Linked DNA regions of Mus musculus. The protein of the gene in region 6 interacts with the protein of the main gene of each other region in a pairwise test. Links are inferred from orthologs where the notes say so. Each region holds a gene or a part of one and is shown on either strand. Other genes may lie near its edges.

What was found.
Region 1: the proteins of Tfip11 (region 6) and Tnnt1 interact in binary tests that used the Homo sapiens proteins (3 or more experiments, as listed by UniProt). The two-hybrid records come from large-scale screens. The link is inferred for Mus musculus from reciprocal best matches to the Homo sapiens genes TFIP11 and TNNT1.
Region 2: the proteins of Tfip11 (region 6) and 9930104L06Rik interact in binary tests that used the Homo sapiens proteins (3 or more experiments, as listed by UniProt). The two-hybrid records come from large-scale screens. The link is inferred for Mus musculus from reciprocal best matches to the Homo sapiens genes TFIP11 and AIRIM.
Region 3: the proteins of Tfip11 (region 6) and Cep57 interact in binary tests that used the Homo sapiens proteins (3 or more experiments, as listed by UniProt). The two-hybrid records come from large-scale screens. The link is inferred for Mus musculus from reciprocal best matches to the Homo sapiens genes TFIP11 and CEP57.
Region 4: the proteins of Tfip11 (region 6) and Il16 interact in binary tests that used the Homo sapiens proteins (3 or more experiments, as listed by UniProt). The two-hybrid records come from large-scale screens. The link is inferred for Mus musculus from reciprocal best matches to the Homo sapiens genes TFIP11 and IL16.
Region 5: the proteins of Tfip11 (region 6) and Traf3ip3 interact in binary tests that used the Homo sapiens proteins (3 or more experiments, as listed by UniProt). The two-hybrid records come from large-scale screens. The link is inferred for Mus musculus from reciprocal best matches to the Homo sapiens genes TFIP11 and TRAF3IP3.
Region 7: the proteins of Tfip11 (region 6) and Poll interact in binary tests that used the Homo sapiens proteins (3 or more experiments, as listed by UniProt). The two-hybrid records come from large-scale screens. The link is inferred for Mus musculus from reciprocal best matches to the Homo sapiens genes TFIP11 and POLL.

The regions. Positions count from the first base shown.
Region 1 is NC_000073.6:4,509,476-4,512,975, forward strand, and holds part of Tnnt1 (troponin T, slow skeletal muscle), read right to left. Parts: intron 2,812-3,500; coding exon 2,790-2,811; intron 906-2,789; coding exon 842-905; intron 594-841; coding exon 477-593; intron 161-476; coding exon 83-160; intron 1-82. UniProt on the Homo sapiens protein: Troponin T is the tropomyosin-binding subunit of troponin, the thin filament regulatory complex which confers calcium-sensitivity to striated muscle actomyosin ATPase activity.
Region 2 is NC_000070.6:124,940,048-124,942,604, forward strand, and holds part of 9930104L06Rik (uncharacterized protein C1orf109 homolog), read left to right. Parts: intron 1-318; coding exon 319-498; intron 499-2,305; coding exon 2,306-2,424; coding exon of another isoform or gene 2,425-2,535; coding exon 2,536-2,557. UniProt on the Homo sapiens protein: Part of the 55LCC heterohexameric ATPase complex which is chromatin-associated and promotes replisome proteostasis to maintain replication fork progression and genome stability.
Region 3 is NC_000075.6:13,824,308-13,828,497, forward strand, and holds the start of Cep57 (centrosomal protein of 57 kDa), read right to left. Parts: upstream 2,801-4,190; 5' UTR 2,594-2,800; coding exon 2,549-2,593; exon of another isoform or gene 2,235-2,548; intron 1-2,234. Other genes in the region: protein FAM76B, read left to right, coding at 3,668-3,754. UniProt on the Homo sapiens protein: Centrosomal protein which may be required for microtubule attachment to centrosomes. May act by forming ring-like structures around microtubules. Mediates nuclear translocation and mitogenic activity of the internalized growth factor FGF2, but that of FGF1.
Region 4 is NC_000073.6:83,648,899-83,652,398, forward strand, and holds part of Il16 (pro-interleukin-16), read right to left. Parts: coding exon 2,981-3,500; intron 2,152-2,980; coding exon 1,983-2,151; intron 1-1,982. UniProt on the Homo sapiens protein: Interleukin-16 stimulates a migratory response in CD4+ lymphocytes, monocytes, and eosinophils. Primes CD4+ T-cells for IL-2 and IL-15 responsiveness. Also induces T-lymphocyte expression of interleukin 2 receptor. Ligand for CD4.
Region 5 is NC_000067.6:193,181,047-193,184,546, forward strand, and holds part of Traf3ip3 (TRAF3-interacting JNK-activating modulator), read right to left. Parts: coding exon 3,421-3,500; intron 972-3,420; coding exon 836-971; intron 323-835; coding exon 260-322; intron 1-259. UniProt on the Homo sapiens protein: Adapter protein that plays essential roles in both innate and adaptive immunity. Plays a crucial role in the regulation of thymocyte development.
Region 6 is NC_000071.6:112,325,048-112,329,168, forward strand, and holds the start of Tfip11 (tuftelin-interacting protein 11), read left to right. Parts: upstream 1-1,321; 5' UTR 1,322-1,426; intron 1,427-2,437; 5' UTR 2,438-2,623; intron 2,624-2,914; 5' UTR 2,915-2,923; coding exon 2,924-3,135; intron 3,136-4,121. UniProt on the Homo sapiens protein: Involved in pre-mRNA splicing, specifically in spliceosome disassembly during late-stage splicing events. Intron turnover seems to proceed through reactions in two lariat-intron associated complexes termed Intron Large (IL) and Intron Small (IS).
Region 7 is NC_000085.6:45,554,670-45,557,564, forward strand, and holds part of Poll (DNA polymerase lambda), read right to left. Parts: intron 1,427-2,895; coding exon 1,253-1,426; intron 551-1,252; coding exon 422-550; intron 1-421.

The DNA.
Region 1 (3,500 bases), on a different chromosome or scaffold from region 6:
TTACAGGGACTTTCTGAGAACCGTAGAGAGTATCAAAATGGGAAATAAAGTATTCTCCTATAGGGAAAGGACAGACACCTACCGCCAGCTTGGCCTGGCGTTCTCGCTCCTTTTCCGTTCTGAAGCGCTGTTGCTCAGCTCTCTCTGCGCGTCGCCTCTCCTAGGGGTATTAAGGGGAAGATTGGGGCAGGGAATGTGGGGGTTCTTGGAGGCTATCCCCTCCCACAAGTTGTCCCTCCACCAGTAGACGAACGAAATAAGGATAGTTTCTTTTATTTAATTGTCCTTTTTGAGACAGTCTCTCGAACTCATGGTAATCTTCCTGCCTCCGCCTCCAAAATGCACTCCTGGTAGAAATGGATACTGGAGTGGACCCGCCCAATGTCCCCGCTGTTTCTCCCAGAGACCCCAAAGCACTACATGGAGGGAGGGAACGGGAGATAGATGTAACTAGAGGACCCGGATTTCCGGCTCACAATGCGGTCTTTTAGTGCAATGAGCTCTTCCTCCTCCTTTTTCCGCTGTTCAAAGTGCACGTCGATGAGCGTCTGCAGCTCCAGTAAGTCTTTCTCCATGCGCTTCCGGTGGATGTCCTGAAGAGGGAGCCCGTGAGGCCGCCGGACAGGGCCCTGGAGCCTGCCCCACCCCAGCCCTAGGTGATGACTGACAGCCAGCTGGGATGGCTTCCAGCAGATGTCAGCAAAGCATTCCTTGCTAATAACAGGACCCTGGGTTACCCCCAGGGTTTTCATGAAGGAAGCATAGAAGGGCACTTTTCAGAATAGGCTCAAGGCGCCAAGAATCCTGCAGCTGCTTCTGGGGTAGGACATCTGTCACTTACATCAAAATCCACACGCTCCCCTTCTGGAATCTTCGGGGGAATCAAAGGAGGCACCACAGGACGGCTGTGTCGATAGAATTGGAGATCATCAACAGGCTGGCCTCCCTCCTCTGCCTTACCACACGCTGTTCAAAATGACAGCCACCCCCCACCCCCACCCCCACCGGCCCCCGAGTCTGTGTGAGACCACAGTCAGGGAAATACAGTTTGAGTATTTTGTTTTGCCTGTTTTGACATACTTGTAAAAACTGGCAGGACCCGGTGGCACAGATCTGTTGTCCTAGCTGCTCGGAAGTCTGAGGCAAATTCAAGTCCTGCCTGGTCTAGAGAGAATCTAAAGCCATCCATGGAAACTTAAGAGACACTGCCTCAAAATGAAAAATCACAACAGGGCTAGGGATGAGATTCGGCCGTAGAATGCCTGACAAGAATCCCCCAGGGAGAGGCAGGGGGCGACTCCCCCAGTGAGGGGCTGCGGGTGACTCAAGACGGAATGCTTGTCTCAAACATACGAGGCCATATATTGAATGCTCTGCATAAAAAGCAGGCAGGGGTAGCTCAGCAAACAAAGACCCCCATGACAAGCCTGATTGTCTGCGTTCCGACCCCTGTAAATCATCCTCTGCACCCCACACTTGCACCATACACACCTCTGTGCTCACACACGCAAAATACGTAATAAAGGCCTTACAGTTTAAAAGCACTGCTCTTCCTTTTGCACTGCTCTGAGATACTTCACTTTCTTCTTAACCATTTTATTTTATGTGTATGTATGAGGTTTTGCCTGCTGCCTGTGTAACACGTGTATGGCCAAGTGCCAGAAGAAGGCATCGGCTCCTCTGGAACTGGAGTTACAGATGTTTGTGAGCCACCACGTGGATACTGGGAACTGAACCCAAGTCCTCTGGAAGAGCAGCAGTCAGTGCTTTCAACCACCGAGCCATCTCTCCAGGCCTGAAGATTTTATTTCAAGGGTAAGGATGAAGCCCGGGGATCACGCATGCTAAAGGCCATGGACTTTAAAGATCGCTATTCTCTAAGCAACTTACAGTTGCCTGGTTGCTCTAACGCTGTACTACTGGCTGTTTAACAGCAACAGTGCGCAGCTGTAACAAGAAAAACGTCTGCGTGCTCGGGTCACCTACAGTTTCTTTTAATAGCTATGATTTAAGATCAGCAAAACCCACAGATGCTGAACTCAGAATCACCAAGACTACTCTTCCGAGGATGCAGCAACACCTTGCCTGGCAAACACTCTTTCCCAAGGCCCAAGTTAGCAGAAACTTCCCGAATAATTCATGTGTCAGAACATTCCTTGCCTTGGCAGGGCTCATCCACTTGGTGTCTCTAAGGACCATGTGTTGTCGGTCCCAAAAGTCCTTGGAAAGGGCCCTCACTTCCTGCATTCCTTCCCTGGTAGCTCTCCAACCTGGAACCTCTGTAACTGCGTTCCTTCCTCCAAGAGTCCCTAAGCTCTAGCCCTGGCCTCTCCGGGCCTCCTCTTAGCTCAGTTAGCTTCCACAGCCTGTACTGGCCTCCCTGGCTTAACCATACTCTCACGATGGCCTGGTTCTGCACCCAGAGTGGGTTTTATACATAACCACTCACTTTGAGTGTAAGAAATGACTGTCCTTGCCTACAACTTTCCTTCAGCTAGCAAGGTCTTTATCGAGAGGGTCCAGGTTATCACCTCCTCGGGAAGCCTTCCTTGATTGGCCCTGGGCCAACACAGAGTCCCCTTGCATGGTTTTCTAGAACCCAGGCTGTTATTTTTATATCTGACCTGTTTCACAATGTAGGAAGGTCCTCAACTTCTTGCTTTAAGAGTTAAGGTTGGCTGTGTTCAAGCCCTGATTTCTCTGCCTTTTGATTTCTCTGCCCTGTCTCTCTTGGTGGAGGAGCATGAGAAGATAGGCTTGTAACCCACACCCACCCTGTAGCACCTCACCTGGGTTTGGGGCGCTCTTCTTCTGGTGGCAATGGGGGAATACAAAAAGATAATTAGAGAGAGTTGGGTAGAGAGAGGCTTGGCATCCTTAAGAGGAAACCCAGAAGCAGCCTGCGAGCCCAAGGCTGGGGGGAGGACATTAGGAGAGTGAAGGAAAGTTGAGGTGGAGAAAAGGGGGAAAAAAGGTCACTCGCATCAGACATACATTCTCCACTGGTGTGGGGACACCCCCACCCAGACCTCTAAAAGCCCAAAGGACCAAACGCCTGGACAATTTACAATTCTATCTACCCCTGTCTCCTGCCTTCCCCATCCTACCCAGCACTGAAAGAGAGCCCATTGCTTCTCTTCATTCAGGGACCCCAGATCTCTATCCCCAGCCCCCTACTCCCTTAGGACACATATTTCTCACCCCCCACACACTTCTTAGTGGTTCCCTAAAGTTCAAGTTTCTCAGCTCATGCCTGTGATCTTAGGATTTAGGAGGCTGAGGTAGGAGAGTTGCTATGAGTTCAAGGCCAACCTAAGATATATATCGAATTTCAGGCCAGCTTAAACTACAGGTGGGGACTGTCTCAAAAAAAAAAAAAAAAAAAAACCCTAAATAAATAAATAAATAAATAAATAACCAAACTGAGTGTGGTGGTGAACACCTGTAATCCCAGCCCTCAAGAAGCTGAGGCAGGAAGGTTGCTGCAAGTTTGAAGTCAG
Region 2 (2,557 bases), on a different chromosome or scaffold from region 6:
TTAAGATGGCTCCTGGGGTAGAGGCACTTGCCGTGTAAGCCTGATGACCTGGGTTCAATCCACGGGCCCATGGAAAGGTGGAAGGACAGAGTGGATGCCACAAAGTAGCCCTCTGATCTCCAAGCATACTCTGTCATGTGCATGCCCTTCCCTCATACTAAATTAACAAGGGTATAGCTCAGTGGTAGACCGCTTCCCTAACACGTCTAAGGGTTTGAGTCCCCTCTGAAACAAAACTTAACAGGACAGTAGTGGTTTGAGAAGGCTTACCCCCTATCTTTTTTTAGGATACTGCCTAACACCCTCCTTTTCCCACAGAGCCACCCTCCTCAAGGTCCGTAACACCATCAACAGCCACGTGGAGCAGGTGTTTCAGGCCTACGAGCAGCATGCGGCTGTGCTAGACATTGACACCGTCCTGCGCCCCTCAGTTGTGAGCCCCTCTGTGGCTGACATGTTGGAGTGGCTGCAGGACATCGACAGACATTATGGAAGCTCATATCCTTCGAGTGCTTCCTGACTGACTGCCCAGAGCCGCCCCTAGAGGCTGCAGCAGGTGCAGACTTCACAGGGTCAGCAGGCTGTATAATTCACAGGGTCAGCAGGCTGTATAATTCACAGGGTCAGCAGGCTGTATAATTCACGGGGTCAGCAGGCTGTATAATTCACGGGGTCAGCAGGCTGTATAATTCACGGGGTCAGCAGGCTGTATAATTCACGGGGTCAGCAGGCTGTATAATTCACGGGGTCAGCAGGCTGTATAATTCACGGGGTCAGCAGGCTGTATAATTCACGGGGTCAGCAGGCTGTATAATTCACGGGGTCAGCAGGCTGTATAATTCACGGGGTCAGCAGGCTGTATAATTCACGGGGTCAGCAGGCTGTATAATTCACGGGGTCAGCAGGCTGTATAATTCGTTGCAGTTCTCTAGTGCTCAGACTTGGATTCTTCTTGCACTTGTCTTTTGTTAACTAGTCATTCCTTAGAGTTTATTTATCTGCTAGGCACTACTCTTAAGTGCTGGGAGCAGGCATAAAAAGGGGGACTGCATAGTGTCAGATGTGGTGAGTGTTAAATAAGGCAGAGAAGGTGAGGGGGAATGTGATTTTAATAGTGTGGTCAGTGCAGGGACCCATGAGGCAGTGACATCCTGAGACAATGATGCTCACAGCATTTGAGCCAAGTTTGCAAGAGGGAAGGAATGAGCCATGTGGGTGTTTGGAAGAAGAGTGGTCCAGGCAGAGGCTACATGGCGTGAGCTTGTCTGGTACATGTAAGAACTGCCATAAAGCCAGTGGGGGCAAGGGCAGGGCAGGGCCGGGCAGGAGGAGAGTGACAGAGGGCCTTGATTTTTGAGAAGGATCTTGAAGGTTTTGGCTGTTACTCTGAAGTCAAAGTTCTCAGAAGCTTTAAGCAGAACCATGTGGTCAAGGCCTGTGCTTAACAGTGCTGTGTTCTGAAGAACAGTTGGCATGGCGGGAAGCAAGCCTGAGAGCAGGAAATTAGCCGCAGTCCTGACCTTTTCTCCATTCGTGCCCATGGCTGTCATCTGACCCTGGTTTTGCTCCTGGTCTTGAGTCTCAGTTTCCTGTGCTGCCTCCAGCTGGCTCGCTTAGTGAACTCCAAATTCAAGTTTAAAGCTGAACATGGACCAGCAATGCCCACTGTGTTACTGATTTTCATGTTGTGATTAATATCGAACACGAAGCAGGACAGACAGATTTATTTCAGGTCATAGCTGAGGGATATGTCCGTCACGGAGGGAAGCGCACAGAGACAGGAGCTTAAGCCACTGGTCACATTGCGCCTGCATCAGGACGCAGGGACTGCTGACTGCTGGCGCTCTGTTCACTTTCTGTTCATTCTGGGACCCCGGCCTGTGGACTGACACCGTCCACATTCAGAGGAGTCCTCCCACTTCAGTTAAACCTTTCTAGAGACAACATCACAGATGCAACCTGTATCATGTTTCCATGACGATTCTAAATCCAGACAAGTTGACAAAGGAGATTGTCACCCAATCTAGATATGTAGGGACGATCTTCCTCCTGTCCCTCTGTTTCCTATTATAACTGCAATAGTGGTACTAGGTGTGCTAGTGGCGCCGCTAACCCTGATATCGCTAAGCACTGCCATAGGCTAGGCGCTGGAGGCCCTGGTTGGCTCTACTCTCCTGCCTTGATTTCTAATCACATTACTGAGATGGACCACATTCAACAGTAGTCCCATAAGAGCATATGACCTAGTGACACAGATATCTTGTAAGTTCCTTTTTCTTCTGAGCAGTCCTTAACTTCTGGGAAGGTACCTGAAGAGAAAGTACCTCCTCTCCTCCATCCACTGGGGAGACTTGGCCAGCATCCAAGCACTGCCCAAGGCCTGGGACCAGATTTCAGAAAATGAGTGCCAAACTCTTGTGTCAGGTACTGGTGTCCGTCAGTCCTGTGCTGCCTCTCTGGAGAGGTTAGACACACCCCCTCCGTGCTCTTGGGCCTTGATAAACCTGATGCTTTGTCCCTTGCTTCCTGTTCTAGATGTCCTGGTGAGTGTCTCCTT
Region 3 (4,190 bases), on a different chromosome or scaffold from region 6:
AAGAGGTAGGGGCATCATCATGCACACAATTAATAAAAACTATCAAAGACGCAAACAGCTCATCAAACACACCCATTACTCTCCATTGCTAACTTCAACAATCTCTCCGAAGCATGGCTCACTTTGCTGTCATTCACCTAAACCCTCAGTGGAGGAAGCAACAAGGACTGTCCCTTAATCCCACAGGCCTCTCCTTGAAAACCCCCTGGATTTCTAACCACTTTTATTAAATGCCAGAGTTCCTCAAGGCTTGGTCCTCAAAGTTCCTTTTTGTCTACAAGGATTCTTTTGGAAAGTCTCATCTACTCTCAGCTCTTTATTTTTTTCAGTAGCTTTCAAGTTTAAAATACAGAATTGAGATCTGAATCTAAAACTCTAAACTCACATTATTCATTGCCTACTTGGATGTCTCAATAGGCACCTAAAATATAAAATGGCTATAACCCAATTCTTGGTTAGTTTCCAAATCTGCTCCTCTCCCACCATACCAAAACAAGTGGCACTGCTATTTACTAAATTGCTCTATATAAACCCTAATAAGAGGTAATTTTCATTCACCTCTTATCTACCCTCTGCAAATCATTCAGGGTTCTTTTTCCATAACATATTTAGAATCTTTTATACTGCCATTTTGCTAGTTATGTTTTTAGTTTGAATTATGTGAAATACTATTTTGCACATTTCTTAAGTATGCTCTTCCAAACAGCTTGCTAATGACAATGATCCTTCCCATAATGTATAAACCTCCCATGTAATGTAGTGCCGGGCTGACCCTTGTTTCATTTCCTGACACTGTGTTTTGACACTGTCTCCCTACCAGTCTTTCAGCAATCTGGACTTTTTTGATTTCAAACACCCACAATACACTCTTATTTTCATTTGCTGCAATTATTCTGCCTGCAAAGCTCCCTTCTTCCCTTCAGTTGCCTGCTCACAAGCCTAACACTAAGGCATTCTCTGGACACCTTTTTATCAATGCAGCTCCAAGCCTACTCTTATATACATGGACTACGGTGGAGTAAAGAAGAGTTTCTCTTCTGTTTCCAATTCCAGACACAGAGTCACAAGATCCATTTTTCCATTAAACAGGCTTTAGATTTCTGTTGGGGCTACCATAAGGACTAGGGATTAACTACATCCCGGTGGCACTGCCTTGGTAGTAGCCCTGCAGTGCAGTTCAACTAAGTTTCCAATTTCTAAGTTTTGAGAGCAGAGAGCTCTCCTTTCTCCAGTTTAATCAACTGTATCTCTTATATAATTCACGTGTTCGCTGACACTTAGTTCTGATAGTTTTTCCTTTATCTTTCATTTATCTGGCAAGGAACTAACTCCCAAATGCTTGCTCCAACTCTTCTCCTTAATCTCCTCTAGTTCTTTGGCAAAGGTATACCCCACTATTTGAAAAACTTGAAATATTCTGACCTTATCACAAATTCTAGTAGCCACAGAAAGTCCAAACTGCTGAGATTCCTAAGTGAGACTTTCTGAAGGTGTTGGTAATCTCTATGCCCTCTTCCTCATCAGCTGTTAAAATTACCCAGAAAATTTCCTGACATCCCTCATTATTCAATTTTCACCTGTTTTTCTAGTTCTTCTTTATCAACTCTACCTTTATATAATCTCTGCACATTCGAAATTACCCTCTGGTGTCCGGAAATTACCTATTGTCTTGTCACATACCTTAAAAAACTTGCAGTGCTTTCTTCTCTTAAATTCCTTCAACACGCAGCTAGCTTATCTTCCTTTCAAGATCCTATCTTCCCTAATACTGCTAATCAATCTCCCCCAGACGCCTCTGGTATCAAAACCTGCAGCGCAGTAATTATCTAATTAGTACAGTGCTTTGCTCCTTCTTCAGAGTGGGATTTCTATTCAATTCCTTCCTGTAACTTTAGGACCAACGGTCGGCTAAGTACAGGAACATTTCTAAAAAGAACTCCAGTTTTCTCACATTTAATTCTTATTTCTTCCTATTGGAGCGTTTTCCAAAAGACTGAGCGCCACAATCCACTCTTAAAACATCAGTGACTAACTAAACCCGCAGGCTTAATTTTCCCGATCGCTTCTCCAGAGCAACTTTTCCATACAGAGTCTAGTAATGGGAAGTGGGAATGCCCGGGCTCCGCCTGCAAGGGTCGCGCAACAAACAGAGAGGCACGGCAGCAAGGGCGAAAACGCACTCTGGGGACCACGGACGCCTCAGCGGCTGCCACTCTACAAACCTGCACACCTACCTGTTAGTGAGTTTCCGAGACGGGCCGTTACGCTCACGTGACCGACAGAGCTTTGTGTTAGCGGGCCTGAGAGTGCACCAGCCAGGCTCGGGACAACGCTCCAAAGCACCGGCTGAGAGGACAAGGGAACGCAGGGTGGAAAAGGAGGTGCTCCAGAAAACACAGTTGCAGCCTCCGGGAGTGGCACGCGGCCTCGGGCAGCCCGCCATCCTGCGGGACGAGGGCTGACGCCAGATCGCGGGCCCCCTGAAAAGTGAGGCAACCCGGAGAGCCGTACAGGCCCACCTGGAACCCACGCGATTGCCGCCCCTTACCGAAAACTGAGAATCAGAAGCCGCCGAGACCGAGGCTGCCGCCATCTTCCCACCTGCGCAACCCCAGACGCCGTCCTTGAGCTCCTCCTCCGGATTCGACAGCCGCCCGCCTGGGGCAAGCGGAATCCAAGTCCCCGATGGAAGGGGCGGGCGAGCTGCGAACCCTATAGGAGCCTCGGTCTCGCAAACCACAAGGACGCCACACTCAGCGCGCACGGGAAAGGCAACGCGTCTTGATAGACGCCTTCCAGTGACCAATCAGAAAAGAGGACAACTTCTGGTGGCAGGGAAGAGCCCGCCTCCTCTCTCGGTGACGTCACAAGGTAGCGCATCGCGGAGCCTGCGGGAACGGCAACGTCTGAGTTGACAGACGGCTCTGGGAGCGTCTGAAAAGGGATGGATTTTCTGGATGAGGAAGCAAAGGCTAGGGCTTCTGGAACCTTCAGCGCCTGCTGAGGCGGATGACGGAAGCTGAATAAAGGAGAATGGAAAGTTGACATACTCCATCAGCATCCCAGGAATAAACTCCAGAGAGCGTTGCTTCTCCATTTGATGTACTGACCTTTCGGCCAATGACAAACAGAAGTAGGAGGGGCTTAAGGATATGGTCCAATGGAAGCCAAGGACTGAAAAAAAGCGGCGTTTCGTGGACCCCCTGGCCAATGGGCTCAAGCGCACCAGCCAAACGACGACTGGCCGTGGCTTGTGGGCGGGATCTTTTCAAAGCGGATTTCGCGCTCTGAGAGCGGCGGCTTCCTATTGGTTGGTACTTTCTCTCTTTGTGGGCGCTCCCTGCCGAACCTAGGCCAGGGACTGGGCGGAGCTTTCTAGTGACGTAAGGCTCTCTGTAGCCAATCGTAGAGAGGGACGCGAGACCGAGGAGGAAGCGGAATCCACCGCCTAGCTCCCGCTTCGTCTCCCTCCGCCGCGGTCCGGGCCTAAACGGGAGCGGCGGGGCGGGCGGCAGTAGGTGTCCCGGGACGGCGGCGGAGGCGGAGGGAGACGCAGGGGACCCGGCAGTTACCGGGACTGGGCCACAGCAGCAGAAGAGCCCGCGGGCGGGGCAGCCGAGTTCCCGGAGGCCCCGCCTGAGCGCGCGCGGAGGAGCCGGAAAGCAGGATGGCGGCGTCGGCCTTGTACGCCTGCACCAAGTGCACGCAGCGCTACCCCTTCGAGGAGCTCTCGCAGGGCCAACAGCTCTGCAAGGTCGGTGGGCGCCGGTCGTTCAGCGCACCGCTCCCCGCCAGGGCCCGGGCATTATATGGGCGAGCCCCGTGTCGACCGCGTCCCGCCTGCTCGCAGGTTGGGCTAGCTCGGCCGCTTCTGGCGGTCTCGGGTGGGGCTGAGCCAAGCGGCCACCAGTCCTCCGTGTCGCAGAGATTGGGTGCAGACTCTCTCATCCCAGCTTTGGCAGGGACTGCCCTCTCCTTCCACTGGGAGGCAGGGCCCGTGTTTGCACTTTCTTGCTAGCAACCCGAAGCTGCAGAGCTGATGGCATTCTGCTTCCCTGTCCCGGAAAGCGAAGCGACTGGTTTAGGAACAGAGTGCTCTCTGATTTGGAGCTCCTCCCATCCCATAAAAGCCGGGATGCTGTCTGTGAGCAATTGTACAAAATAACTAGTAGTTTCACATGTAAACCACC
Region 4 (3,500 bases), on a different chromosome or scaffold from region 6:
TTTGTTTTATTAAACACCAGCTGGGCCAGTACTACCACCTCCTCAGACTTCAGTTTCATCGCGCAGGAATTACAGGAAGCTTACGAGGGTAAACAAATGTATGTAAAACAGCAAGCCCGCTCTCTTCTGCTCCTACTCACCCACTCACACCCACTTCCCATAGACTGGACTGCACATTGCAAAGTCAGCTAGAGAGCCCTGCAGGCTGGAAGATGCCACTTTCCCATGGCATTCTGAGACAAGGGCCGGTGCTAGGCTTTGGGTCAACCTCTCAGAGGTCAGCGCTGTTTCACAGGTGCTGGCTGCTCCTTCTTCCATGGCATAGCAGCAGTAAAGGGCCCAGTTGGCATCTCGCTCTGTCACACATGCAGTACAAATGTGAAACAGGCACAAACAGAAACTCCCAGTCAGGATCCAGGACAACTTTCTCACACTCTCCAAAGGCAGAGGCTCCCATTCTACTCTCAAGCTGAATCCTGGAGCCCCAGTGCCCACAACAGCGATGGAGGTCACATACGTGGGCAAGGTGGACAGGCATGAGTGAAAGGCACAAAGAGGGCAGGCCAAACACATCTGCATACTAGGATTGGCTACCTCAGAGGAAGGCAATCCTGCCACTACTGGCTCATTCCCTTTAAACAAAACACTCAGAAATAGCAGGACTTAGGACAACCAAACACTTTAAAAGATCCAGTAAATTTTATTTTCAGGCCCATAGCTCTTGGGCCACTAGTTTGTATATGGCACTAGGAAATAAAAACATGGCAAAGCAGTTCATTGGCTGTGAGCTACCAGAGTCCCTGACTTGCAGGTCTTCTTCCATCTCTTAATGTGGAGATCCCAGGTCAGAGGAGGGACCAGAGGGTGAAGGTCCCATCAACCCACACTGACCCACTTATATCAGGTTATTTGGAGTTGGGGTGTGTGTGTGTCTGTGTGTGTCTGTGTGTGTCTGTGTGTGTCTGTGTGTGTTTATTTCTCCTGTGAGTGGTTGCCATACTAGAAACAAAGTCTTCTTACTGACCCTTTAGATAGGCAGCTCTGAACTTGAAGTTTTCCTTCCAGCATATTATTTTTATTGACTCAGGCTCTGGGGATCAATGGCTCATGCAGGCTACAAGTGATTAGTGAGACCCTGGGTTGAGAAACCACAGCCCCAAGGTACCATGGGTTCATCAGACTTTACTACCACACCTTTGACCTTGGAAGGGCAGCTGTAATTCTTCCAGTAAAAATGGACTCCTTGCTTCCCAGTTTTCATTATCCCAGTTCAGGTACAGGGTACAGAGCCTAAGAGGTTTCCAGAGAGTGAGATTCACAAGGCCACCTCCTGACTGCTGGCTCCAGCTCTGGTTGGGCCATTTCCTCGATACACACCATTGGCTGAGCTCAGCGACTACATGGGAAGTGGACCTTTCGGGATGATGTGGCTGAGGCACACAGACCCTCCTGAGCTCACCTTGAGGTGGGCAGAGGAAATAACCAAAGCGTCTATGCTGTTCACCACTGGCAGTGCTACACCATGTGGGTTCTCTCTCTGGACACTCATGCCAGGTTAGCAGCCCATGGGATGTTGGCATAGCACTTGGCATGACCTTAGAGTCAGAGCACCCTGGCTCTGTGACCATGGATCTTCCTTCTCAGCCATAAAATGGCAAAGGATGCCAGGACAAGGGGCCTGGCCATGTCCCTCCAAAACACAGACACAGACACACACAGACACAGACAGACAGACAGACAGACACACACACACACACACAAACACTTCCCATCCCAGCTAAAATCAGGTGTTAACACTTGCTATGTCAAGTGACATGGTGTCCCTCTACCACTGACAGGACAAAACCTGTCCTGATGCCAGCCAACACCATAACAAACCTTAAGCTACAAACCGTAAACTTCTTTAGCTACTTCCCCTCTGGGTCAGCTAAGATGACAAACAACAGCCCTTGTCCCTACAGATGTGCATGCAGGAAACCTACCTTCAATGTTGCTTCATCTAGAACTCTCACTTCCTCAATGAGTTTTTCCAGTTCTTCTGCACTCAGCAAGGAGATAACCGACTGGCCGGCCTGAGAAGAACAGTGGTTCCTGTCCTCGGTTTCCCCGGGCTCTGTGAGACCTTCTGAATATTCTCTCAGCTCTGAAAGGCTTTCACAAGCAGAGATAACACGGTGTGAAAAACAAGATTCTTTGGGGGTATTTTGTTTTTCTGGTTTGCTTGGTTTGGTTTGGTTTGGTTTGGTTTGGTTTGGTTTGGCTTTTGGTTTTTTTTTTTTCAAGACAGGGTTTCTCTGTTGCAAGATTTTTTATCAACTCTATCCTGCCAGGGGCTCTGTTAGCTACATGCTATTTGGGAACTCTGTTATGACATATCCACTCTCAGCAGCACAAACAATAAATAAATCACAGCTGATTCAAGAGGGAAAACCCAGACCCAGCCCTGCAGCAGAAGACCTTGGACCCCCTACTAGCCCTCACAAAAATGAAGCTGGTCTCACCTACCTCCTGACTTTACCTAAAGAGGGAGGCAGCTGTACAAGCCAGGACTCTGCTCCTAGAGTTAGAGGCTGAGCTGAAACAAGACTAAATGTCCTACTCACTGCCCAGGTCCTAGGCCCATGTGAAGATCAAGACAGATTCTTACTGGGGAGCATTCCCTGGCCTCACCCAGAGCTCCTTAAGATGAAGGTGGACTTTTCATTCGCCTCCTGTATCTTTGTGAGCAGATTACCAAGAGCCTGAACATATCCCCCACTTCTCATCCCAGCCAAGGTCGGCTATTATGTAAACTACTTCTTAACATGGAAGACAGAACTCCAGTGCACATGTGTACATACACACATGCACACAGATCTGCATGCACACACACACATGAGATGAAATGATCTTTTTAACCAGTGCGTCTGAGAAATGTTTAAATGCTATATAAAATAGAAAAATGGGGGCAGTGGAGATCAAGCAGGGCACAGACACTCACTTGAGAGAGAACCCTGTGTCAGAGGCCATGGCTTCACCAAAACCCTCTGCAGCTGAGCTGTTGTTGCAAGGTGACTTTGGAGACACCCTCTCCTTGGGGATGCAGGTGATCTGGCCACAAGAGACTGAAGATGGAAGGCACAGCAGGGATTTCATGACAGCAGATGATAGCTGGCTGCTGATGGAGTAAAGCTTACTGGCCTTTTCATCCAACAGCTTTGTCTCGCAGGACTGGGTCCTGGTCAGGGGGAAGCTCCGTGCCCGCTGACTTGGCATCTTGAGACCTGGTCCTTGAGTATCCTCGGATTGTGTAGTCAACAGTCTCAAGAGAGGGTCTGGAGACAAAGCTTTTGTGCTGGGTCGCTGACCTGGGGGAGGAGACTCAGGCAAACCTGGGTCCCTGACCTCTGAGGAGTTAGGGAAGGTTGTGGACATAGACTCTACCTCTGTCTGTCTGTGCTTAGCTGTTACTGTAGCCCCTTGACCCAGGAGACCAGAAAATCGTCCTCCATCTTGCTTTC
Region 5 (3,500 bases), on a different chromosome or scaffold from region 6:
ACACACACACACACACACATAGAAAGGAAACACAAGGACAGATGCTAATGTAATAACATGGGAAAGAAACCATATAACTTGTGGAGGGTTGTGCAGATGATCCCTCAGCCCAGCCCCTTGCAGGAAGTGTGCTCGAGGATGCTCAGAAACAGGACACACTGAAGCCTCCATGGCTCAGCCCTCCCTCCTTCGAAGGTCTTCTGTGGTCAGGAGCAACAGAAACCACCTGTGCAGGTTGAACCCTGAAAAGGAAACTTACTCTGTAGCTGTTGTACTTTGCTCACCAGGGCCTGTTTCTCTTCCTCTGACTTCTTTAGTTGATCTGAAAGCGAAAGAATACAAACAGAAATAGGAGAGCACCAGAGGGTGGAAATGAGAGGTAAGTCCTGTCCTCTGTGACCTGGGAGTGTCAGGTGTCTTTCAGATCTGAAGGGAGAGGCCAGCATTCACACAGGAACATCACAATATTGTGTACACACACTAGTGGGTCCTTTCAGCCCACAGAGGCACATCTAGGAGGCCTTCATCTTGCCTGTGTTTGTACTAACCTTTCCCTTTCAAATTAGGAATATGGCCTTTGCATGTGACTAGTATGGGAGCAGCTGTGGTATGGCCCACAGGGTCAAGCTGGAGGAGAGAGCATGCAGAGTCCTCAGATGAAGGACAACTAAGGTTCATTTTGGTTGATTGACATTTCTCTGCCTTTCCCTCAAGGAGAAATGAAATCATGGGACCAAGCACAAATGAGGAGCAAAGCTTCTCCCCATAGCCTCCTTCCTCTGAGCCCATTCAGTTGTGGTTCTAATGACCCTGTGACCTCAAAGAAGAGGAGTACCTTGTAGGTCCTGGGTCTCAGAGCTCTGCTGCTCTCCGTCTCCCTGCAGGCTCTCGAGTTTGGTCTGCAGCTCCTGGTGCTCATTTTCTAAAAGCTGCAGGGCCTGGCTCATCTGTGAGTCTCTGCTGTCTGCTCCCTGCAAAGAGGAGGGAGAGGAGCCACAGAGCAGCAGGTCAGTGTGGCTGGCGACAGAGCAGACAGGTACCATGGAACAGGACACAGTAGGATTACTGAGATGGGGTGTCAGGAAATGGAAGCTCTCCCCTTCTCTTTGTTCTGCCCTATCCTGCATGTTTATGGCAGTGCCTCTGACTTGATATTTATGGGGATATGTATGTCTCGATGCCTTGACAGATCTCCACATCAAGCCAGAATTTTCTAGATGTTTTACTTTCTTTTTACTTTGGCATGACCAGTTGTTGAGGGAGAGGGGCAGTTAAGGCTATTTTCACAAAGAATTAAGGTTTAAAAACCTCAAAACACTTTCCTAAGAATTGCCTTATGCATGATGAGAAAAGAGAGCAGAGGTTAAGATGTGGATGCTGTGTGTAGCCAGTAAAATTTGTGCCTCTAAATGTCTCACACCCTCTTTCATCAAATATATATATATATTTTCCTGATTCATGTTTGGGGAAATTGTAAAGATTCACTCTTAGGGCAGATCTTCAAAGTTTCAAACTAAGTATGTGAAATCTATGTGTTAACTGGAGATTTTGGGGAGGCTCACCTGGGGTGCCATATGTTACTAGGGAAATAGGGTCTCCTCTCTGAGTTCTTAGATTTGTTAAGAACACATCAAGGAAACTTCTCTTTGAAACAGATGGAGACCACTACAGAAAACCACTATCAATCAAAATGCATACCTGTGGATTCTGGTCTCAATGAATACAGCTATAAAATAACTCCATACTTGAGGCTCAGGGAACATTGCAAAAGAGGGGGCAGAAAGATTGTAAGATCAGGGAGTTTTCTGTGAGATTGTGCCTCCTAGTAATGTCAGAAGCAATACCCATAAAGTCTCACCAACATGGCTGCCCAAATGTGAAGGGAAAAGGAGGCCACCAATGGGTGTGCCAAACTAGATGAGGGAGAGAGCCCATGAGGCCTCAATCCTACACGGAGAACTATAGGTAATGAAAATATCCATACAAGTAACATATAGACTCAACAGATTATATTCAGGGATATATATGCATGCACACATATGCATTAAATAATAATTGATGAAAAAGAGGCTGTGAACATGAAGGAGAGCTAGGAGGGAGATAGGGAGGGCTTGGAGGGAGAGAGAAGGAGGGAGAAATGTAATTAGAATCTTGAGAATAAAAATAAGAAAGATGGTTAACATTAAAAATATTAAGAGCAGATTCTGAAGAAGACTAAAAACAAAACAAAACAAAACAAAACAAAAAAAACCAAAACAGCCAAAAACAGTAATAATGACAACAGAGGCAGATTGGGAATCCTGTGAATGTCAGCAGCTGCCTGGAGGATAAAGGTGGAGAAGAGGGAAAGAAAGTCATGCCTTTTGAGTTAGGGATGGGGATTCGGCAGTTTGGCACGCAGCCATATGGCAAAGGGGATGCGGAGAGGGTAACATCAAAGAAGAGTGAGAAAGCCAGGAGTGTTGTGGAAGCACACCTAGGCTTCAGCAAGGGTTAGGAAGAAAGAAGATGTGAAAAAGAAAAGTTACATTTTTCTGAGAAATTCAGAGGACTGGTCAGGCTTGACCAAGTAGCGTGGCCATGACTCTGTGAGTGACCACACCAGGCTCAGGCTTTCTAGGAAGGGGAAGTACATGATCTCACTAAAAGAATAATTACTTTTCCTTCTTTGGCATGGCTTAAAGTGAATCTGCCTTCCTGAGGGGTGGTTCATTAGCCAGAAGATTGACTGGCCCAAGTGGATTAATTCCTATGCTTTGGGGAGCGTGGAATGTCAGGCCTCCATGTAATTACTAACCCGAGTGAAGTGCTCATATGTACCAGACTATGCCACACATGTTGTGTGAGTAGTCACATTTAATCCATGCAACAAAAGACCCTAAATTAATTATAAATGAATCAATTAATCTACATTAATTAATTAATGTAGATTAATTAGATTTTCTAAGGTGGCAGATTGAAAGTGTAGGAACTTTTGAGCATGACAAGAATTTACTGAAATTTATTAAGAAACACACCAGCAGGATGTGTTAGTACCTGTAAATAAACCAGTAACATTTATTATGTACAAAACAATGGGCAGTTATGCACTGAGTGCCCTGCTGGGGTGGTGTTTGAATAGTGTGCAATTGGTAGGCCAATCAACCCAATGAATGCCCCAACTCAGGCATTTGTATTTGGTTAATGTCTTTCCAGTGGGTACTTAGTTCATTTGCATGGACAGTGTAGGCATTCCCTCTATACGCACTTATGATTCAGAGCAAAACAGTGAGTCTGGTACTAAGTGGGCAGTGGATGAAGACTTGAAAGCTGCTTGTTACGTGTATCCAACCTTTGAGGCCCAACCTAGGAGACTCCTTTCTCAGCAGACCCCTCTCCCCCCTTCTGCCTCCCTTCCTCTCCCACTGCCGGGCCTGGTACCTGTAGTTTGGACTGAAGCACATGCAGTTGGCTCTCCAGCTCTCTGTGCTGGTCCCCTAGGGTCCTCCAGTCCTCCTTCA
Region 6 (4,121 bases):
CCCACTGCCCGCCCTCAGCTCTCTGTATCAGTTCTTAGATGCTTTCATTCACGTGACCATAAAACCCCAAGAAGGGACCCTGATCCCACAGTATCACATTGGCTCTGACGGACTCCCCAAGAGCCTCACTAACAAATCCTCCTGCATGTTTTTTGGTTAGGTTTTATTGCTGTATTGTAAAGACCATACCCAAGAGCAATTTGGGAAGGAAACTGATTTATTTGCTTTACAGATTACAGTCCAAAGACATTTTTAAAAAGAACTGAAGTAGAAGCCACGGAGGGAACGCTGCTTATTGGCTTGCTCCCTGTGCTTACAGCACCCAGGACCACAGGGGGAGGCCCCACCCACAATGGGCTGGGCCGTCCCACATCAATCATGAATCAAGCAAACGACACCAGTCTTGCCTACAGGCCATCCGATGGAAGCACCGAGTCCTTTTCCTAGATATCTCTAGTGTGTATCAAGCTGACAGGGGAAAACAAAAATAAGTCCAGCCAACAACAAAACCCACCAGGACCCAGCCTTTTAGGGTATTAGAGAAAACAAATTAGTTTCAGAACCAGAGATGGCACCAGACTATGTATAGATTTGTAAGATGTGTAAAAAGATGACATATGCTCTTTGTGGGTCGCGTTGGCACACGCCTTTAAGGCCAGCACTCAGGAGGCAGAGGCAGGCAGATCTCCCGAGTTCGAGGCTAACCTGGTCTACACAATGAGTTCCAGGACAGTCAGGGCTACACAGAGAAACCCTGTCTTTCTTTCTTTCTTTTTTTTGGGGGTGGGGGGTTTCGAGACAGGGTTTCTCTGTGTAGCCCTGGTTGTCCTGGAACTCACTTTGTATGTAGACCAGGCTGGCCTCGAACTCAGAAATCCACCTGTCTCTGCCTCCTAAGTGCTGGGATTAAAGGCGTGCGCCACCACGGCAGGATGAGAAACCCTGTCTTGAAAATTCACAAAACCAAAACCAAATCAAACCAACAAGAAACCCCAACTCCGTTCTTTCCCAGCGACAGAGAAATAACTAGAGCAAAGAGGAGAACAATAAAACTGCTTCCTGGAGAGAACTCGACATGGGGTCGCGAGGACATTTTAATCTCTCAGTGTCCTCGTGACGCTGGTAACGCCAAGTAAGACTCCAGTGCCTGGCGACGGCTCGCCCTGGAACGAGACGGCCACTCAGCCTCAGTTCCGATGGGAACCAGAAGCAGCGCGAGGCGGGATCACCGGCCCTTCCGGGTTGCAGACACGCCCCCTCCGGCGTGAAGTCGCTGCCGGGGCAACAGCGCGCCACTTCCGCCTCTGAGCGATGACGTATTTCCGATGCGCCGGTAAAGGCCACATCCGGGTTTGGGCTGGCGGGACCCTCGCAGATTCGGGGACGCTGGGCGAAGGCTGTGTGGCTCTCGCGGATGCTGAGCGAGGTGAGCAGGCGGCGGGGTGGCGTCCCGGGAGCGCGGGCTGAGGCTCCGAGGCTCCGTGACGACGGCTTTACGGTTTCCCTGCGCTCCGGGCCCGCTGCTGACATTGAGCTGAGCGTCTCCTGTCCCCTGTGCTGGGGAGGTGGCGGTGCTGTAATTGAGTGGGCCTAGGGCTTCCTGCTCCTTTGAGGAAACTCAACATGTGCTGGTTGCTGGGGTCGGAACCTGTTGAGTTTCGCCGGTGCATAGTGAGGAGGAGGAGGAGGAGGAGCAGCGGGGGGGGGGGGGAGCTGTTAGTCACCGCGGAGCCGTTTTCACGCTGTCAGTCACTGGTGTCACATAGTGAGGATGTTACTGTGCAATGCACACAGTGTCGGGTCGGGACCTTTGAATGTGATAACCACACTCACAGGTGTTCATAGAGGCGCGATTTAGACTCAGGCTGGGGTGTTAAGTGTTAATGATTTTCACAATCATTTTGAAGGATTCACTTCGCAGTCCTGACTTGTAATGAGTGTGAACCTGAAACCCGATCATGGAGTGGAAGAAGATGCTTTTTTTTTTTTTTCCTTTTTCCTCCCTTTCCCCCCGTTTCTGTTTTTTGTTTGTTTGTTTGTTTTGTTTTTTGTTTTTGTTTTCAAGACAGAATTTCTCTTTAGCAGCCAGCCCTGGCTGCCCTGGAATTTGCTTTGTAGACCAGGCTGGCTTTGAACTCAGACCCCCCTGGTCTCTGCCTCCCTACTGCTAGAGTCAAAGATGTAAGGGTGCTGTTTCTTGAGCACCTACTGGGAGCGGAGCTTTCGTTGTTGTTTTGTCGGTTTTGAGACCAGGCTGGCTTTGAACTTAGAGAGATGGATCTGCCTCTCTGCCTCCAAAGTGTTGGAGCTTTTGTTTTTCGAAAGTATCATCTTAATCAGTCCTTACAAGCTTCTCCTGGAACTGAATGAATGCAGTTATGAGAGAGAGAGATGAATAGCTACCTGGGTAGAACACTGTTTTTTCCCTACCCTCTAGGAGTGACTGCAAAGTGGCATTCAGAAAGACTGCAACCTTCCAGTACCGTAGAAGCCGTTCAGGGAAGGAAACCTTCAGTCCCGTGGAAATAGTATTTCAGAAAATGCTCTGAAGTTTCCCTGGAACTGCAAATTGGCTAGATACAACTTTTCCTGGAGAAGTAAAAAGACCAACCTGGTTTCTGAGGTAATAACATTTAGAGCTGTTGCTTCCTTTCTGTGGCATATGTGCCTGTCATTCTGTGGCCCCGCCCCACGCGTGCATGGTGATTGACTCTGACAAGGCATTGTGCGTTAGGCCCCCTTCGGATGGCTGGGTCTGACTTGTCTCACTTGTCACGGAGCTGGTCATTTTGCCCTTTGTTTAATGGCTGCTTTACTGAGTTGGATCATGAGGCTCATTAATAGCTTTTTGACACTGGCGGATCTTCTGCTAGCCCCAGGTTCTCACAGTGCTGTTCTTGTCACCGTCCTCTAGTGACTGGCCATGTCTCTGTCCCACTTGTACCGGGATGGCGAAGGCCACCTTGATGATGACGATGACGATGAGAGGGAGAACTTTGAGATCACCGACTGGGATCTCCAGAATGAGTTCAACCCCAACCGGCAGCGCCATTGGCAGACCAAAGAGGAGGCCACCTACGGGGTGTGGGCGGAGCGAGACTCGGACGAGGAGAGGCCCAGCTTTGGAGGCAAAAGGTACTGTGTGCTGGGCTGCATGCCCTGGGTCTGGAGGATCGGGAAGGCATCCCAGAAGAGTTTTCTGCCCTTGTAGAGTCCGGGTGCTACAGCATCTTGCTATGTGTTGTTGAGCTGGGGTGGCGAGCTCCCCCTCAGCAGTTACTGTGTGATGGGATCAGGGCTACTTATGGATAGGGAAGTGCTGACCCACCACAGGCATGGCAGCTGTGGGGCCATGCTGTGTCAGGGAGCACTCACAGGGCACTAGAGAACAGGGAGTTTAGAGAGGGTGCTCTGGAGAAAACGCTGTTGGACCAAACGGAGGTAGAAAAGTGAGTAGGTCCACAGGGGAGAGTGGTAGTACAGCCTGGGGTCCACATTAAGATGCTGTCTCAAGTCTCCCCACCTAACTACACTCAGAATGTTTTGATTAATTTTACTTAGGATTTTTATCTGTTTGAGTTGTTCTGACTTTTATCCTTGAAATAGTATCTAAAACAAACACTGTGTGTGTGTGTGTGTGTGTGTGTGTGTGTGTGTGTGTGTTTACAGGCATGCTAGATAAGTGCTGTACCACTCTAAAGCAAAGCAGACACTAAGCTAACACAGTCTTTTCAGTTGTAAAAGGGGGCCCAGTTTGATGCCTCGGAGGTTGTTGCCATGCACACCTGGCTAGCTGGGTTCAGTCACCAGATTCCTACAGGGAAGGGGAAAGGGACGAGATGCTCTACAAATTGTCTGCACAGAGCAATAATGGCATTTTTGAAAGCGTCCAAAGGAAGTAAGATTATTACATCCTAGTCTGAATTTATACTCAACCCTACTGACAGTGGCAAATCTTCAGTTATAGTTTGAATCGAACAGACCCCACGAGTGTAAAATGTGGGCTGGAAGAGGACCCAGGAGCAATTGAGATTGAACTCAATTGCTATTGCAGACCTGAGTGTGGCTCCCAGCCAGTGCCCACCTCAGGCAGCTCACAAGTGCCTCTAATTCCATCTTCA
Region 7 (2,895 bases), on a different chromosome or scaffold from region 6:
CAACCCTGCACATGAACTTACAGACTCAGCCCCTAGCTCTAAGCTGAACCTTTAACTTGGCTAAACCTGATTTCTTGGCCAACTAGATGTTTTTTGTTTGTTTTTTTTTTCCCCCTTTCTGTGATGCTGAGGATGGGCAGGGTCTTAGGCATGCTCAGGAGCGCTACCTCTGAACGACATACTCAGGCCTTGATTGTACTCAGGCCTTGAGGCTGTGCTTGCCCCATGCTAGGCGACTAGTGCCCAGAGTTCATGCTTAGTGACCCTGAGACCAGAGGGCTGCCACTGCAGTGCCCACCCCACCTGGGGTTCCTGGACCTACAGCTCTGGTAGACACAATCTCTGTCGACCTCTTAACTTCCGCTGCCTGTGGGGTTGCCCAGCTAGGGCTTCAGGAGCTGTTGGCTCGAGCTGTGCCTACCGTCTGCTCAATTTCCGCAGCCTCCTCCCTGGGCATGCGGTCCAGGAAGTCATCGTAGTGCTTCAAGCCAATGGCCTGCTGAGCGGTCAGGGAGCCCAGGCTTTGGAGATCTTCTAGGTTTCGGAAGCCCTGGAAGAAAGCAACCAGAAAAGAGGCTATGAGGACCCAGGACTAATAAACAGGCCAGAAGTCATGGGTGGCTGTCACAGCAGCTGCCATGGAAGACAGAAGGCAGGACCAATCAAGTCCAGCCTCTATTCAGTGGGACGTGATCTGGGCATGCTGGTCCCTCATTCCTCGGTCTAAAATGGGTCAGGGCTTCACGCTCACTAACTCCCAAGATCATTCTTGGCATGGCCAAGTTTGAGAGCCACTGTTCGAGACATGGAGCCCAAAGCCTGGGCTCCTGAGAAAGTCCCTTGCTGAAGCCAGGCAGATCAGCCTGGTCTACATAGTAAGTTCTAGGTTAGCCAGGGCTACATGGTGACATATAGTTTTTAAAACAAACACACACACACACACACAAACACACACACACACACACACACACACACACACAAACATAACAACAGCAAATCCCTGCTGGTGTGTGGGACAGAGTAATGTATTTATTGTTTCTGTCCACAGGTCAAGGACACTAAGCTACATGGCTGTTCTGGGGACAGGAGGGGGACCAATGTGAACTCTGGCATCCTTGTAGTTGGATTTCACTCCCATGAGGGCCCAGGGTGGGAAAACAGAGGGACCCAGATTCCTGCAGGTGAACAGGAAGGGGTGTGGGCAGAGACTCTGTAACAGCAATACTTTAAGAGGCAGGCGGGCTGGCATGACCTGATGGTACCACATCTGGGCAGTCTTCGTCCCAGCTCCCCAGATGTTGGAGAAGAGCTCCAAGACAGGCACACTGTCACTGATGTGGTCTAGCTTCCGCAGATGCCCACTCTCCAGGATCTCCATGACCTTCTCCGCCATCCGCTTGCCAATTCCCGGGATGCTACAGGCCTCCTAGGGAGGAAGTGGCACAGAGGAGGATGAGGAAGAGGCTAGGAAGGGAGAGCCAGAAGAGGGGAATGTGGCTCCTTCAGCAGAATATCTGCCCCAAAGGTAGCCCAGCAACCATATGGAGCTTGTCCTTTGGTTCCCAGAGACCAGCAATAAGAAGTAGAGAAAATGGCCTGGCAGGCCTTAAATCCCAGAACTCCTGGAGGCAGAAAGGCAGAGGCAGAGGCAGAGGCAGAGGCAGAGGCAGAGGCAGAGAGGCAGAGAGGCAGAGAGGCAGAGGCAGAGGCAGAGGCAGAGGCAGAGGCAGAGGCAGAGGCAGAGGCAGAGAGGCAGAGGCAGAGGCAGAGGCAGAGGCAGAGGCAGAGGCAGAGGCAGAGGCAGAGGCAGAGGCAGAGGCAGAAAGGCAGAGGCAGAGGAGGCAGAGGCAGAGGCAGAGAGAGGATCTGTGAGTTCCAGCCCAGTCAGGGCTGTGGAGAGAGACTCTTGTCTCTAAAAGAAAAAATAAAACAAAATAACCACAAAAAGAGGTAGAGAAAATGACAGTGCTCATCACCACCACCACTGCCACCACCACATCACAACTCTGCATGCACACTCCCTGCGGGCCCACTGTATTGCCTGCAGCGTGTGTGTGTGTGTGTGTGTGTGTATGTGTGTGTGTGTGTGTGTGGGGGGGGTCTCGCTGCACTGCTTGCCTAGGGGCTCCCTGTACCACACTGCCTGACTGCAGGCTCACTGCACCACACTGCCTGGGGGAGGGGGTCACAGCACTACCTGACTGGGAGCCCACTGCATCACACTACCTGAGGGCTCACTATACCTCACTGCCTGGGGCGGGGGTTGGGGGGAGTCACAGCACTGCCTGACCTGGGTGGGGCTCACTGCATGACACTGCCTGTTGGGGTCACAGCACTGCCTGACTGGGGACTCACTGCACCACACTGCCTGACTGAAGGCTCCCTGCACCACACTGCCTGAGGGCTTACTCTATGTCATTCTGTGCTACTGAGATCATCTTCCAACCTTACAAAACCCCTGTGAATGGCCTATAGTTGTTCATTCCTTTCCAGTGATTGGAAAACTGACAGAGTAACTAACTTGCCTAGAGTCCATAATCAATGGACCCCAGAGTCTAACGTATGAACCACCACGCCTGGCTTTAAACTTATCATATAAAACACTCAGATGTAGAGGAAACAGTGTATGTAATAAGCCCCTAAGCACCCATTTTCTAGTCCTAATGCTGGTCTGTTTTCCTCCCCTCCCCCTTCTATCAGTTTGTCTCTGTATGTAGATCCCAGCCATTACAAACTCTTTTTTTTGTTTTTGTTTTTTTTTTTGTTTTGTTTTGTTTTGTTTTTTTGAGACAGGGTTTCTCTGTATAGTCCTGGCTGTCCTGGAACTCACTTTGTAGACCAAGCTGGCCTTGAACTCAGAAATCCGCCTGCCTCTGCCTCCAGAGTGCTGGGATT